Astyanax mexicanus: one gene and its partner. The protein of the gene in region 1 purifies or fractionates together with the protein of each later gene. This does not show direct contact. Links are inferred from orthologs where the notes say so. Each region holds a gene or a part of one and is shown on either strand. Other genes may lie near its edges.

The links.
Region 2: the proteins of luzp1 (region 1) and dapk3 purify together in Homo sapiens (affinity purification with mass spectrometry; 3 studies listed by BioGRID and IntAct, with this or other methods). This does not show direct contact. The link is inferred for Astyanax mexicanus from reciprocal best matches to the Homo sapiens genes LUZP1 and DAPK3.

Annotation. Positions count from the first base shown.
Region 1 is NC_064421.1:44,089,737-44,098,262, forward strand, and holds the start of luzp1 (leucine zipper protein 1), read left to right. Parts: upstream 1-4,894; 5' UTR 4,895-5,044; intron 5,045-8,526.
Region 2 is NC_064415.1:44,697,268-44,704,873, reverse strand, and holds the start of dapk3 (death-associated protein kinase 3), read left to right. Parts: upstream 1-4,242; 5' UTR 4,243-4,320; intron 4,321-5,835; 5' UTR 5,836-5,879; coding exon 5,880-5,941; intron 5,942-7,606. Other genes in the region: sppl2 (signal peptide peptidase-like 2), read right to left, coding at 186-368, 1,678-1,794, 2,358-2,405. UniProt on the Homo sapiens protein: Serine/threonine kinase which is involved in the regulation of apoptosis, autophagy, transcription, translation and actin cytoskeleton reorganization. Involved in the regulation of smooth muscle contraction.

The DNA of each region.
Region 1 (8,526 bases):
ATAATATACACTGACCAATACAATGAACTAGTAGCCTCGCCCATGACTTTTGGCATGTCCCATGGAAGCTGTAGAATGCTGAATTGACCTATGGGATAAATATGGATGTGATTTCTCTCAGATATTCTTGTGTATTTGTATTTCAAGGACAACTTGAGCCAGATGCCGCCGGTCACCGTCGTTTTACCTTCTACTGCATGTGCTGTCCACTGATGATGGTAATGCTTTCTATAGCATATTTATAGCACATACGTGACACTGGGGAAATTACACATTTTAACTGGTTCCATCTAGGTCGGATGGAAAGTTTCTGTGAACAGCAATTTCCATGTCTTGCCACAGAAGCTCAATGGGATTTAGGTCAGGACTTGAATATTCTTTGATCCAAACCATTCCACTGTAGCTCTGGCTGTATGTTTAGGGTCATTGTCTTGCTGGAAGGCGAATCTCCTTTCCATACTCAAGTCTTTTGCAGAATCCAACAGTTTTTTTTTTCCAGGATTGCTGTGTATTTACCCCAATGCTATAGTTTTTAAAGTGCAAATTACACATTTTAACTATAGGGGGAGCCCAGGAGCAAGAAATCCCCATTGTTATATAATGCTGTTTTAAACTAAGGTGCAGAGGTGTTGCCTAAATTTTTTTGTACTATGTGTAAGAGTTGGCCAGGTGTTCACACACCTGTATGTGTGCGTATGAGCATGTGTGTGTGTGTGTGTGTGTGTATGTGTGTGCAAGCACTGTTCAGCAGTGCTCTCCTGTCCTGCTCTGCAGTGTGTGTGGGTATTTTATGTAATCTCCATCTGCCGTTGCTGCACTCAAGCGCTCTGAGTTTAATGTGTGTTCTTTTATCCAGTGAAGAGTTTAACCCCTGCATTACAGAGCTGAACACAAACACACACACACACCTCAGAGAGAAGCGCACACTTAACATCACACTGCTGCTGATCACCACTCTGCTATTATAAGATACTCTCAATGTAAAGCAGTGATCACTCAGTGAAAAATCAGCCCACACTATACAGACAAAATTACAGAGAAATCATCTCAAAAGTATTGGATGAAGCACCATCATTCCAGAGAACACATTACTCCACTACTCCACAGCTCGATGCTAGGGGGTTGTGTATTCATGTCAGTGTGCCCATAGTTTCATTATAATCTGCTCTAAATCGTCTCTTATTCTATTGCCAATACTTCTCTTCTACAGGAACTATTTTAGCTATTTTAACTGATTGCATTAGAAGGGACGTCTACATACATTTGGACATATTAAGTCAGTCCAGGTTCTTGGAGCAGTGAGGCATTAATGTTCAGAACCCACAAGGTCTAGTAGAACAATCAACTAATTGTTAAATGGAAATGTATTGAAATGTTTTTTACAACAAGGACAAATATGCTCTACCCCTAAGTGACTTATTTAGATATCTACAAATTAGACATCTCACAAAAATCACATATTGGAGTATCACAAAAAACCCATCTGATAGAGAAACCCATTTTATACATTTATTTGAACAGATACATCAGATTTATAAAAATGAATGACTGATTTCCACGACAAAACTTTAAATATTAAAGAACAATGGGAGCTCTAACTGAATACAGGGATGGAAGATAAAGTGTAGGAAAATGTACAGTATTGTGCAAATGTTTTTGGCACCTGTAGGAATTTCTGTAAAGAAAAAGCTTCTTATGTGGGCAGTAAGTGTTTATTAGCTCAGTAAAACACTCATATTGCTAATATTGCTTCCTATGCTAGGGTATCCATTAAGTTGTGTGTTCAAACACAGGGACTTTAAAAGTCATGTATTACATTTTTTTAAAGTTGCATTTATTCACTTTACAGATTAGGCAAAGTATATATATATATATACTTATATATATATACTTATAAATATATATATATATATATATATATATATATATATATATATATATATATATATATATATATATATATATATATATAAACACAAAGTGGATTTTATGGTATTCAACCTCTATTTCAAAAACTTAGTAGAGCCATCTTTTGCTGCAATTACAGCTGCAAGTCATTTATGGTTTGTCTCTACAAGTTTTGCAGCTCTAGAAACTGAGATTTTTGCTCGTTCTTCTTTGCAAAACAACTCAAGCTCAGCCAGGTTGGAACAGCAATTTTCATGTCTTGTCACAGAAGCCCAATGGGATTTAGGTCTTTCAGGACTTTGACTCGTCCACTTTAGCTCTGGCTGTATGTTTATAATCATTGTCTTGCTGGAAAGTAAATCTCCTTCCCAGTCTCAAGTCTTCCAACAGATTTTCAAAAAAAAGTTTAACTTTGGTCTTATCTGATCACAGCACCTTCTTCCACATGTTTGCCTTGCTTGTGATAAACTGCTAATATAACTTTTTATGTCTCTCTTTCAACAATGTTTTTTTTTTTACTTGTCACTCTTCCACAAAGGCCAGATATAGTTGTCCTGTGAACAGATTCTCCCACCTGGGCTGTGGATTTCTGCAGGTCCTCCAGAGTGATCATGGGCCTTTTATTTATTCTAATGACAGTAAAATATAAGCTAAGCATAGGAGAAGGCTCTTGAATGGATATATAAATGTTAAAGTTGAGATTTCTACAGTTAGCATCATGCTAATCAGTGCACAGTACTAACATCAGGCTCTAAAAATGTCAGATGCGGAGCTTCAGTAATGGGGTGGAGAGATGGAGCGCGGCTGCAGAGCTAAACACACAGTGAGAGAGGAGGCTGCGGAGTGGCCGGCTGAACTTGGCCTCCGTTCCTCCACCACAACTACATACCGTTTCGCTCGTGATTAAACGCTTAGGACAGAAAATTGAGGAGTGTGCGTTTACGGAGGATATAAACGTCTTGTGTGTATTTATAAGTACATGCGGAGCGGGAGTCAGAACCTCTTCTGTCTGCCAGAGAACAGGGCTGAGCACTTTCACCAAGGAACCACGGCCTAGATTCAAATTCAGAGTAGGAGAACTAAGGGTTTTGCTTTTACATCTGAAAGTGCAGACCAGAGTTTGAATCATGGTTCATGGGTTTGTTACATTGTGTACTTTTAAAGCTTTATCCAGTCATCATCATATACGTATACATTGATTGGTTTGTAGAAGGGCGTGCCTTCAACGTTGGCTTGTTGTTACTTTGGCAATTTGCCTGTATAAGTGTTCTCAGGTGTTCTCAGCCAAATTCTGTCTCAGTGCAAGAATCCAACTCCCTTTGAGTGAAAAATGTCATGCAGCAGAAGAAACGCAACAGATTATCCTCAGATTCCATTTATTTCTGTTTATTAATAAGAGTTAATCTACAGTTACAGTAGATACAGGAGTCACAAGGTCATACGGCTAACTGACACATTTGCACACACAGGGGTGTTTGATTTGGTTTAACCAAATTTTAGTCATTTGTTCCAGACAGTGGTCTGCCTTACCTTTCACCTTTCAGCTATTAGTGTATCTTGCTTGGATCTTCAGACTTTCCATATTGGTCTAAACCAAAATAGCTGGCGTAAAAGAAGATGTGAAATATTTGTAAAAAAAAAAAATTGGTCCAACCTAAAGACTGTTCTCAGTCTGGAATGGCAGGGAGGCAGAATTTAGCACAACAACTGGAAAGGCAAGATGCCGAATTGACAACACCCCGACGTCCGATGCACGCAATTCTACAAATCAATCAATTGTCATGTATAGGTGGTGATGACAGGACTACAGGACTAAAATTAAAAGAACACAATATATACACAGCAAATCTTACTGTATACTATGTAGTAAACAAAAATATACCCTAAGATTCTTTACAGTGATGATGATGGACATGACTTAACTGAATGGGTAGACCACTTAAACAATTCTCAGATTATTGAAGTCTACACTTTTCCAACACTAAATGCACATTTTGACACATCTGCTGCTGTTTATATTCATAGAAAGTCGCTAAAAGAGACAATATCCCACAATTTTCCTCAGATCCACTTACACTCTGTCTGAGTTCATGAATCAAAAACAAACTGTAGGCTAAATAGGTGGAGATGAACTTCTGTTTGTTGATTGGATGGGGCTAAGCTGCTGTAGGATGACTAGGTGGGGCTAAACTGCTGTAGGATGAATAGGTGGAGATGAAGTTTGTTGATTGGATGGGGCTAAACTGCTATAGGCTGAATGAATGGAGATACAATGCTGTAGGCTAAATGGGTGGGGCTAAACTGCTGTAGACTAAAAAGGTGGAGATAAGGTTTTGTTTGTTGGTTACTCCTGTTGGCTAAATGGGCTAATAAAAATGTTTTGCTTTTCTTGACATTTTAAGTGTCCATACATTTATGAAGACTCAAATGATTACAGTAAGTTAAGGCTTGTGTGTATAACATTTTCAGATTTCAACCTATCACAGCCTGTTGAATTCTATCCTGACCAATCAAAGCTGGATTTTTTTATGCTTTTGAACCAGTCACAGCAGGACAAAAGATTAACATCCTGAATAGTTGCAGCATTATTGCAGATTTAAAATAAAATAATAAAACACTAAACTAAACAAAAATAACAAAAAATAAATATAAAAACGCGTTTTTAAAAAAGTTAGAAGATAAAAGTCCCTTACCTTTTTCATTGTTTGCTCCTCGAAAGAATGCGCAATATGTATTTTTCCCACCTGTTTTCCGTGAAGCCACGCCCCTTGTGAATCGCGATTTCGCGTGAGAGCGTCCAGCACTGGCCAATCGCGTGGCAGGAGGGGCGGGGACTCGGCCGCGTTCCGTTCTTGCCCAGAGCCTTGCCCTGTCTTGAACGACGGCCCGCCTTGTGACGCATGAACATGACATAGCCAATCACAGCGTTGGAGGGGCGGGGCTTTCCTCAATACGGGTGTTCTGGAGAAAAAAAGGGGGAAAAAAGCTCCAGCGTGCGGAATGCGGCGGCGGGCTGCCTCTGCTGCGAAAAAAAACCGAGAGATCCAGCAAACATTACCGCACTGCTGAGAACTTTCCACGCCAGCCAGGACCTCGGCTTTAGCTCGGACTTACCGCCGCTCCTCCGCAGGCCGAGGTGAGTGTGAGAAAAGTGTGAAAAACATTTCAGAAAAGCGAAGTTGTGGTTGTTTTTTTTGAGCGCAGGTATCAGAAGCCGGCTTGGCCGAGCGAGAGCCTCCTTTTCTCGGCCACAACCGGGCAGAACGTCCGCTCCCTCTCCCGGGGCTGGAGCGTTGCTGGGTCGGTCTGTTTTTGCCATGTTTTACCGCTGTGGCAGAACCTAGCATTGCGTATCTCTATACCTTAGTGGTTTATACCTCGTTGTTGGTGGTTTTAATCTGCTTTAAAGTGAGTGAAACCCTGTTAGACCCTGTTTTTGACCCAGTCTGTTCACATCCAGGAGCTGGAGATGTCCAACGTCAGCAGACTCAGACTCAGGTCTGGAAGTTTACCCAGCAGCAGATAGGTTAGGTTAGTTGTTTTATTTGAATGTGTCAATTTTGAAGCTCCTGCGAGCTTTAAAACAAGGCTTTGACCCACTTTTCTGGTGGCTGGGTGAAACCCTCACACCAACAGGGGGGTTTTGGTGTTTGTCTTGGGAATATTTGAGTTTTTTTTGGAACAGGAAAAGTCACCCTCCTTCTTGGAGAACAATGAGGCTGATCCTGAGGCTGGGAGTGGAAGTACTTTCAGGAGGACAGAGAGAGAGAGAGTTCGGCCAACTCCTTCCACACCTCGGATTCTTCACCTAAACCTGTTTTCTGAGGCCTGAGGGGAGAAGTCAAGGTTTTATTATGTTTTTTCCACTGACACAGATCCGCAGCACCGGCTGGGCCTCCAGGAGCCGCGGCTCCTATCTCGACTTGACCCCGAGCTGTGTTGACAGGCAGGGTTTGAGATGTCCACCTCTGGCCTGATGTGATGACAGGCCTTGTCATGATGTAATTAAACACCTTCTGGTGTGAGTGGAAGGTTCATCTAGTCATCTAGTCAGCGTATGAAGGCTGGTGCTGAGTTTAAAGACAGACCCAGTTTTGGGTTGAAAGCAGCACTGACCCAAATTTTGGCACAAATCTCAGAGGAACCGCGCTCATCTCAGTAAACTGATCTTCTACACTGTTTAAAAAAGGACATCCAGCAGCTTTATAGACACTGAAATGATCTCAAGAGAGTGAAGAATGATTCTTTTATGGAATCTGTATCATCAATCGCATTTCGGTGCCTTTAATTTTTGGATTGTGTTCATTCTTTTTAGCAACAGAAATGGTTCTCTTTAGAACATATCACACAGCTCTGGAAAAAATAAGAGACAACTTTAAAATGATGAGTTTCTTTGATTTTACCAAATTGAAAACCTCTGGAATGTAATCAAGAGGAAGCGGGATGATCACAAGCCATCAAACCAAACTGAACTGCTTGAATTTTTGCACCAGGAATGGTGTAAAAGTTATCTAAAAGCAGTGTGTAAGACTGGTGGAGGAGAACGTGCCAAGATGCACGAAAACTGTGATTAAAAACCAGGGTTATTCCACCAAATATTGAACGCTGAACTCTTAAAACTTTATGAATATGAACTTGTTTTCTTTGCATTATTTGAGGTCTGAAAGCTCTGCATCTTTTTCTTTAATTTGACCATTTCTCATTTCAGCAAATAAATGCAAATAAATATTTTTATTTGGAATTTGGGAGAAATGTTGTCTGTAGTTTATAGAATAAAACAATCGTGTTCATTTTACTCGAACATATACCTATAAATAGCTAAATTTAAAAAACTGTTTTAGAAAAGAAAGTGGTCTCTTTATTTTTTTCCCGGAGCTGTATATATACATACAGTGATGCACGAAGTTTGTGAAACTAGAATCCTAATATGATTTATATAAAGAACCCCTTTTGATTAAATGTTATGAAAACCTTTACAAAATCAATCTGAAGTACAACTACTTATCTAGTACTTAGTGTTAGTATCAGCATTTCTACATTAGCCAATAAATCAATACATTTAAAAAGATCTGCACTAAAATGGGTCACAGTTCCACAGAAGAACCATTTTTGTGTGCCTTTTGAACATTCCAGTGACTAATACATGCGGTGGTGTTTGTTAGTATAAGTACTGGTTCTGCATAGAACAATGACTGTTTGGAACTATTTGGAATCCTAAGTGGTGTATTTCTAGTTTAAAGTGTTCTTTATATGGTGGTAATGCTTTCGGTTCTGTATGAAAGAACCAATGCTTTTGCTAAGCCTTCATTCTTCTTTTTCTACGTTCTAGCTCAGCCTGAATGCTGGGTGCTAACTCTGCTGTACGTTAATTGGGTTCTTTAAGGTTTGAGTGACAAAACAGGTCTGAGGTCAGGGCCCTCACGCTGAAGTGTCAGTAAATAAGGGTTGGTGACCTGGATGGAAGAGTCTGAAGGTCAGCTGATGTGTCCGAGTTGTAGGGATGCACCAATCCAACAGTTCCTGTTCTGATTATTTGTTTTTCTCAGTTGATTTCTGTGCTGTTGGTTGCGAAAGTGGTTACTGTGGTGTTCTAAGTGGTTGCTATGCCTAATTATGAACATTAATTAAACATTATACATGTGTACATTCTCAGCATAAATTGGAAAAAAAGGAATCAAATCTAATAGTCACAGTGGATCAAATGAAAACTGTACAGGATTATAGAGCATCCCCCATGTAGTGTATTACAGTCTGTCATAATGAGCATGTGGATCATATGAACATTGTAAAGCCTTATAGAGCGCCCCCAGTGTTTCCTTTAGTGTATTACAGTCTGTCATAATGAGCGTGTGGATCATATGAACATTGTAATGCCTTATAATGCGCTCCCAGTGTTTCCTGTAGTGTATTACCGTCTGCCAGAATTAGTGTGTGGATCATATTAACATAACATGGCATTAGAGAGCGCCCCCTATGCTTTCTTTAGTGTATTACAGTCTGTTATAATGAGCATGTGGATCATATGAATATTACAGAGCATTATAGAGCACCCTCTATGCTTCCTTTAGTGTATTACAGTCTGTTGTAATAAGCGTGTGGATCATATGAACATAAAATGGCATTATAAAGCACCCCCTATGCTTCCTGTAGTGTATTACAGTCTGTCAGAATGAGCATGTACATCATATTAACATTGTCGAGCGTTATAAAGTGCCTTCTAAGCTTCCTGTAGTATCAAATGTTATAATGCACATCATCTTCATCTAATCTTCATGACGTGTTGATTGTGATGGCGTTCCTGAGATAGTCATGGTGAGCTGTCTGTCTGAGGCACAGTGACTGAGTGTGTTCACACACCCAGAGTGTCTGCTGGAGGACATCCTGTACTGCGTCTGTGTGTGTTAAAGCTGGAGGGCGGGAGAGGGTTTGTGATTGTAAGTGAGTGTGAGAGAGGCTAGAGGAGGCCAGCAGTGTGTTTCCTTAAAGAAAATTGTGCGAGAATAACGTGCACTGTGTGTTGAATGATGACCCTTTTGTGTGAATACCATAGGCTGGTTTCAGGGCTTACATTTTACTGTTATTAGGAACTAGTATGAGGACTGATAACATACTGTAATT
Region 2 (7,606 bases), on another chromosome or scaffold:
TAGTTAATTAAACTGTAAATAGTCCCAGTAGAGAGAAAGGTAAATATTATTTTATTCAACACTGTTCAAGCAACACCTTGAAAAGCTAAATAACAGTTCTATATGAAATGCCTATTTACATTAATTCTTTGTAAACCGTTACCCTCACACCCATCTGCTACCCTCACACTCCCCAGAGTCCTCACCAGCCGGTCCTTGCTGACGATCAGCAGGCCTTTGGCTCCGTTAATCTGCGCCAGACGCACTTTCTCATAGAAGGTACAATTCCCACGCAGCACCATGGGGATCCGATTTGGGAAGCCGCCTTCCGGCACATCAGAGGCAGAACACAGCACTGAAGCTGTCAAGTCATACGCCAGCAGACGAGACTGAACAAACACACAGAAAATCAGTATATATAATATACATACACACCATACACTGATTAAGATCATAAATACAGGTACAGGAAATTAAGACCTGCCCTCAGATATAGTCAATTAGCCAAGACATGTCTGGCATCTTGGTCTTTCATGATAATTATGATAATTACATTTTTTACAATATATGAACATGACCTTAATGATTTATGTTGATCTCAATGTTGCCCATTGGGGCTTCTTAGTGCGACGAGCCCATAAACATTACTGATGTCCTTTGTTTTTACCACATTTTTCACACTATAAGGCACACTTCCAAACATCAGTGTGCATTATGAACAAATTCTACCAGTCAGGTGATGATTTACTAGCTGATGATTTACTAGCGCTAAACCCTGCTAACAGTGGCTAGCGCTGCTGCTAACACTCTGTTGACAATATTGGAAATCTAAGCTTACTGTGAATAAACTGAAGCACTTTACTCGCCCAAATTAACAGTTTTCATGAGAGCAATGTGTGTACATTACTGTGTAACACCCTTATTCCTTACTATTGTCATTTAAAATGTGCCTTGTTATCTGGTGTGCCTTATGTATAAAAATACACCAGAAAATATACAAGGAAATAGACATTCATTAATAGAGTGGCTTATAATACAGTATATCTCTGGAAAAAATAAAGAGAGCACCTCAGTTTCTGAATCAGATTCTCTTATTTATAGGTATATTATTGAGTAAAACGAACATTGTTTTTTTTATATATAAACTTCGGACAACATTTAATATTGCCAATTAGATCATCCATCTTCCTCTTGATTATATTCCAGATGTGTTCAATTTGGTAAAGTTAAAGAAACTTCTCATTTTTAAGTTGTTTTTTATTATTTTCCAGAACTGTATATATACAATTTTTTTCCAATTTTCTCCCCAATTTGTAAGGCTACCCACTTAGTACCCACCGGAGTCAGCTGGACCCCTCAGAGACCCTTGGCACGTTGTTATGCCTTAATATTCTTACTCATTAAAAGCTTACTGCTCTTTGAAAGGGTGTAACTGCATTCAAATACTAGTGTAAGATTATTATATGAGGGCATAAATGGTCTTAAAATGAAAATGTTATTGTTAAGCACAATCTTTTTGGGACATCATATCTGCAGGACTACTGGCATCTGCTGTATGATACTTTAATGTACAACAGGAGATGCTAAGCTAACACTGCTATTCCACTTAGCCACTCCTGCAATTAGCTGGCAATTAGTTTATGTTTGTGTTTACAGCAAGGTAAGCATGTGTATTTGTAGAGAAGTTGAATAACTTACTGCTTTATTAAGGTCCTGAGGTAGCCGAGCCCACTGAGAGTTGAAGAAGATGCAGTAATCCTTCCCTTTACTCTTTCCCCACTCACTAAAATGAGCCATGCCATATTCTCCCACAGCCTGCAGACGAGAACACAGCTAGCTGAACAAATTTACTTCACAATTAATAACACTGAATAAGTCAGTGGATCCTTAACAATTTATAACAGATACTAAAATGTAAACTTGCTCAATAATTTACAGTGGATAATACATAATCAGTAAGTAAACTAGTTAACTAAATAATTCACTAAACTTACAAACGGTAAAGTTCTTTGTTTCTGTGCGAATTTTTCATTCCACCTTAAATAGTGCAGCAGTCAGAGGATTATTTAAGGTGGAAAGGAAAACTGGAAAACCCTAACTTCAACTCCGTGTTAAGAGTATTTTATCAGACAGTCTTAATTCTCTTTTCGCCCTTCATAATATAATTAACTAAACATTATATATAAAGCTGTAAATCAGGTTTAAAGGTTTCGGGGCCTGAAGGCTTCATCCTGTCTCCTAGCGTTAGCATGTTAACAGGATGAGCTAACCTTCATCTAAACTAAAGCGAATCTGTGTTTATTTGTCCTTATCTACATATTTCCTTCAGCGTAACTGACCAGTAGACTGAACGTGTCTGTGCTGTGTGGTGTCAGTACCTGTTTAATGAACAGAGCTGTCCAGATGAGGCTCCGCATTAATCTCATACTGTCTTACTGTTGTTCTTCCTCCATCTGCACTGAGGCACGGCCACAGATCCCGATCCCGAGCTAACCGCGGCGTCTTATTGGTCCGATCCCTGCCCAGCGCCAGCACCTACGGGAGTGGCTCACGCAGCTGTCAGTCTGAAACGGGGCTCTTTAACACAGTGATATCTCAGTTTAATGATTGATTTACAGTAAATAAACAGATGTTAGGGGTTTAGAAACATAAATTTGCATAGTGCACTTTTATAAAAGGATAATTTATTGATAACTAAGAGTTAAAGCTCAATCTTACACTGTAAACTGAAGTTTGTGCCAAATGTTTGTGTCCTGTCCTCAGTTTTTCATGCACACCAGCCCCTCTAACCTGACTTTAAAAATATACAGAAATGTGATATGTTGAAAGTGGGTGTCTTTTATTCTAATAGGAATTATATTCAATGTAAATATATTCCACCGCAATTACTATTACGACTACAAATAATTATAATAACACGTAGATTATAGATAATGTTGCATTTGTGTACTGAAAACAGTATTAAATAATTTATTTGTAGTTTTAATTTCCTCTGTACAAAATGCAGCAACTGAGAATAGGCCTATCTAGTCATAATAGACTAAAAAATAGAACCATACTACCATATTCCTTGAATCAAATAAGGACATAAATATAATGAGAAACAGAAGAGTAAAAATGCAATTTTACAATATTTAATAAATATGGATGACAGGGATAAAACCAATAAAATCATAGCAGAAAGAAGATTGCGATTCATGAGGCCTTCTTATTTCCAGGAATTCTATTACTTTTTCTCTTAAATTTCTTGATTTTTTTCTTAGGCCATTAAGAAGAAATAAACATTGGGAAAATTGTAAAAAAAAAAAATCTGCTGTTAAGTATATATTATTTACCCAACAAAAGTATAATATTTGCAATATGCCAGACATGGGTCTGTACATGAAGAACCTTTTTGATTGACAGTAAACACAGCCTTGATAAAAATGCTACCTGCTAACAAATACAGCTTAAGACCAGCTGGTCACCCAAAAAAAAAAAAACACATCATGCTGGTCAAGAGCTGTTTAACGAGCTAGCCTACCAGCATAGGGTATGTTTTTTTTTGGATGACCAAAAAATTGGTCTTAAGCTGAATTTGTTACAATATCTACAATATCAAATGCAAATAACATAATATACACGTAATAATATGCTTAATATAGTAATCATTTTGCTAATGCTTGGGGGATATACACAGTTACATAAATATCTTAAAATACACACGTTGTAACAGTTTTAATAACTTTTGTATTAAAGGGTCCATGAGTTTAACACAATGTTTCATCCTTGTTTCAAAAGCAACAAAAGGGTCTTGCCTGAGAATTTACATTTATTCATACAAAACCTGGCCATTAAAAGTCTAAAATGTGTGATATATGCATTGGTACATTTATCTCTGTCATTTACCAAAAGACCAAATAATACATACATAAATAAACAATACTCTAGTAGTTACCTAAATAAACAATATTTTATATCAGTCTTATGGATAATGTTGTGCTTGTGAACTATTTCTTACTCTCTTTTTCTCTATGTAAAGCACTTTGAGCTGCACTGAGGTGCTACATAAATAATGTTTATTATTATTATATTATTAAAAAAGGTGCTTATTTTTTATCCTCTTTTATACATATTGACAATTTCAGGTAAATAACAAGATATAACATTGTGTTTTAAAGTGGTGTTTAAATGTTAGAAAATGTCTAATTATCTGGGTAGAGTTTGTGTATAGGTTTATACGACGAAGCTTTTTTATTGCAGCACGACTCCTGACGTCACCGCGGCGTTAATACCCGAGCGCGGCCGCTGGGCGGCGCTGGAGCGGAAACACCGCCCGCGGGGAATGCAGCTGTCCGGTCTGTGAGTACAGTATTTACATTTTATTCACATGTAAAGCTTTAAACAGATTAAATAACCCTGATGAAGACATGTATTAAGTTTATACAGTTATATGTTAAGTACAGGTTAGTGTGGAGAGTAAAATAAAGGATTCCCGGGTTTGTTTAAAGGCTCAGGAGGCTCTGAGATGTGGAGTTAACCTAGGTTAGCTAAGAAGCTAAAGTCAGCGTTAAAAGGCAGCGGGTTTTAGTGAATATTTAACTGAAGTTAAACCGCATTATCTCTCTACCTCTCTGTGTGTCTGTAACTGTGTATGAGAGCCGACCAGTGTTAGGGTTTAGTTTAACATGATTTGTGTAGTTAAGAAGTTCTGCTTCTTTTCAAATTATCCGTTCCACCTTAAATAGTGCAGCAGTTCTATGTTAACTGCAGGACCGTTTAAGGTGGAACTGACAATTCTTTTTAAACTCCAAAATAAACCTCGTTTAACAGAAAAAGTCTTTTACCAATTCACATCTGACCTTAATTAGAATATTAGTGAAATTGGAGACAATAAACATGTTATGAAATATAAATATCAGTCATTTTTTAAGCGATAAAGCTCACGTTTGTCTGTTCTGGATGAAGATGATGATGATGATGATGTAGCAGGATTGGTATTTGCACTCATTAAACACATTACTGATCCCCAAGACTCATGTCAGGGTCTGTTAAGCTCATTTTGGCTGAGTATAACTTATTTATTTCATACTTTAAGCTATTATTGTCCATATCTGGACTATTAAAAGGAATATTCCTTATTTAGAAGAAAGAAACATTTGAAAGTTAAATGTTTGTCAAACTATTAAAGGTGGGCAATAGGGGAGTATATATTTTTATTATAGTGATAAATGCAGATGAAGAGTTCATAAAACACTGATTATTAATAATTTCTCTTAATTTTGTAGGTTTTGCCAAACTATGTCCATAAGAAAACAGTGATTTAAATGGCTTGAGAAAACACCTTTAATTTTTTTTTTATTAAAATTAAGTTTTAGTTGTAGTTTCAAAGTGTTGACATTTACAGGTTTTTATATGGTTTTTATTTTTTTTTTTTTAAGAATGTTTTTAAAAAGTAATGGAAATTAGAAAAAAAATGTTTGATTATTGTTTTGGTTTAAAAAAAATAATTTAATGTTTAATTAATGTAAATCCGTCACATCTATTTGCATTCAACTATATCTGTAAATTCACACAATGAGAACAAAATGATGATTTAATGCTGTCTGGCTTTATTCAGACATATAATGCAGAATACGCAGAAATATTATTCAGCTAGTAAAACGTGACCTTTCAAAATGTTTAAAATTCATTTTAGGTGAGAAATATATTTGAGATTTTTTGGCCAAGTCAGTACTGATATATTACAGATTGTATGTTTATTTAGTGTACAGCAGTTTAGACACTCATAATGAGCCTATGATGAGCCTATGATGAACCTGTTTAGCCTACAGAAAGAGACATATTCAGGATGTCCTGTTATCTCCTCTGTTACAGGATTTGTTGACCCAAGTGTGGACTGTGGGTAAGGTCAGCGAGTCATGGCTGGCTTCAGGCAGGAGGATGTGGAGAAGTTCTATGAGATGGGGGAGGAGCTAGGCAGGTAAGACGCTACGTCGTTAGCTCTGATGAGTAAGTCATGACGGCTGTGAATTTGGTTAGATTAGTCAACATAGGCTGGGTTTTAATGGTGGGGTTGTGAAGTAGTGCCTGTAAGACAGAGTGATGTACATCAGTGACTTACAGTGATCTGCTAAAAGTGACACAGAGGTAATTATTGCTAGGTTTGTTAAAAAGAGTTTAAAAAAGTCTAAATAATATTAATTATTACATAATTAATCAAAGTTATGTACAAGTAATGTTTTTCCTTTTACCTTTTTGAAATCATGAACAGGATTATTGGCTATGTTCACAAAACCAGGCTAAAGTGACTCAAATTAGATTTTTTTGCTCAATGTGGCTCAGATTTTCTTTTTAAGGCTGTGTGCACGTGCCAAATGCGATTTTTTTATTTTTTTTTATTCAGATCTGAGCCACTTCTTTATGTGTTGCTAAATCGAACTTGCTTAACCTGAACCATGGACATGCTACATAAATGTGAACGGTCAAATTCATGTGTCTTTTTTTTCTTTTACGCATGCGCTACGTGTTTCTCTCTGGTACCCACACATCTCTTGGTGCAGCTATAGCTGCAAAAACAGCAAAAGCAAACCGCCTGGCCCTTTTTTCACCTCCTCGACCTGAGCATGAACTTCAGACCAGCTGTTTACTCTCCACTCCAGCAAAAGATGCTCCACATATGAACTGCTAAAGCATCATTTCCCTTTTTTTAAAACTACGAGTCGTTTATACATGTATTAGTGTGCGCGTGTGAGGCATTTCAGGGACAGATTCGTTCACATTACACACAGATACAGCTCACTTATATTTGTGTATGTGAACCGTCAAGACAGCCACATCTGATTTGAGCAATGGGCTCTAAATGTGGATATTTATTTTTTGTTTTTGCTATTGATAGTTCAGTGTTAGAAATTGCTATTATTTATTTTTTTGCTATTGGTAGTTCAGTGTTAGAAAACATTGATGTTCCATTGTAATTTAAAGAAGCTTACGATAAACTGCAACACCATAAGCAAAACAATATGTTCTGTTTGTTTGTTTGTGTTTTTATTTTAGAAAACCTTTCATAATTGGTAAATACCAACACATTAAAAATTCTGGGTAAAAGAAAAGTATATTATCTTTAAATGTAATTGTATTTATTACTACTACTTACTATTTAAGTAAATGCTGTGTTTTTAAGTATTGATACAGTATTGTTATACTACAATATATCAGTGTTTTCTTACACCCCTAGTAAGTATAGGACTGTTTCTTCAGTTGTGTGTTAGCAATGATCTTTGGATTGAAGTTTTTATATTAAACCAGATTCAGACTAATGCGGAAGAATGTCATACTGTTACGCTTTCTTTTGTTTGCTCTAAGTCAGCATAAACACTGTCGCGCTGCAGTGAAGCACAGTGTGTTTTAGAGCACTCTGTACTAACACACACACTGATGCGGCTGCGATAAAGATACTCTGCTTATTTTACCTTTACGTAAGTGCCTTCCTCTCACACTAGTGAGGAATTTTAATTCACACAAAGAATGAGTCATAAACACACACACACACAGTTTGCTTTCCTATAAAAGGCAGTGGAGCTTTAATGCAGGATGACATCATCTCTGTCTGTCTTTTTCTCAGCGTTTGCCAGAAAACAGCTGTGCT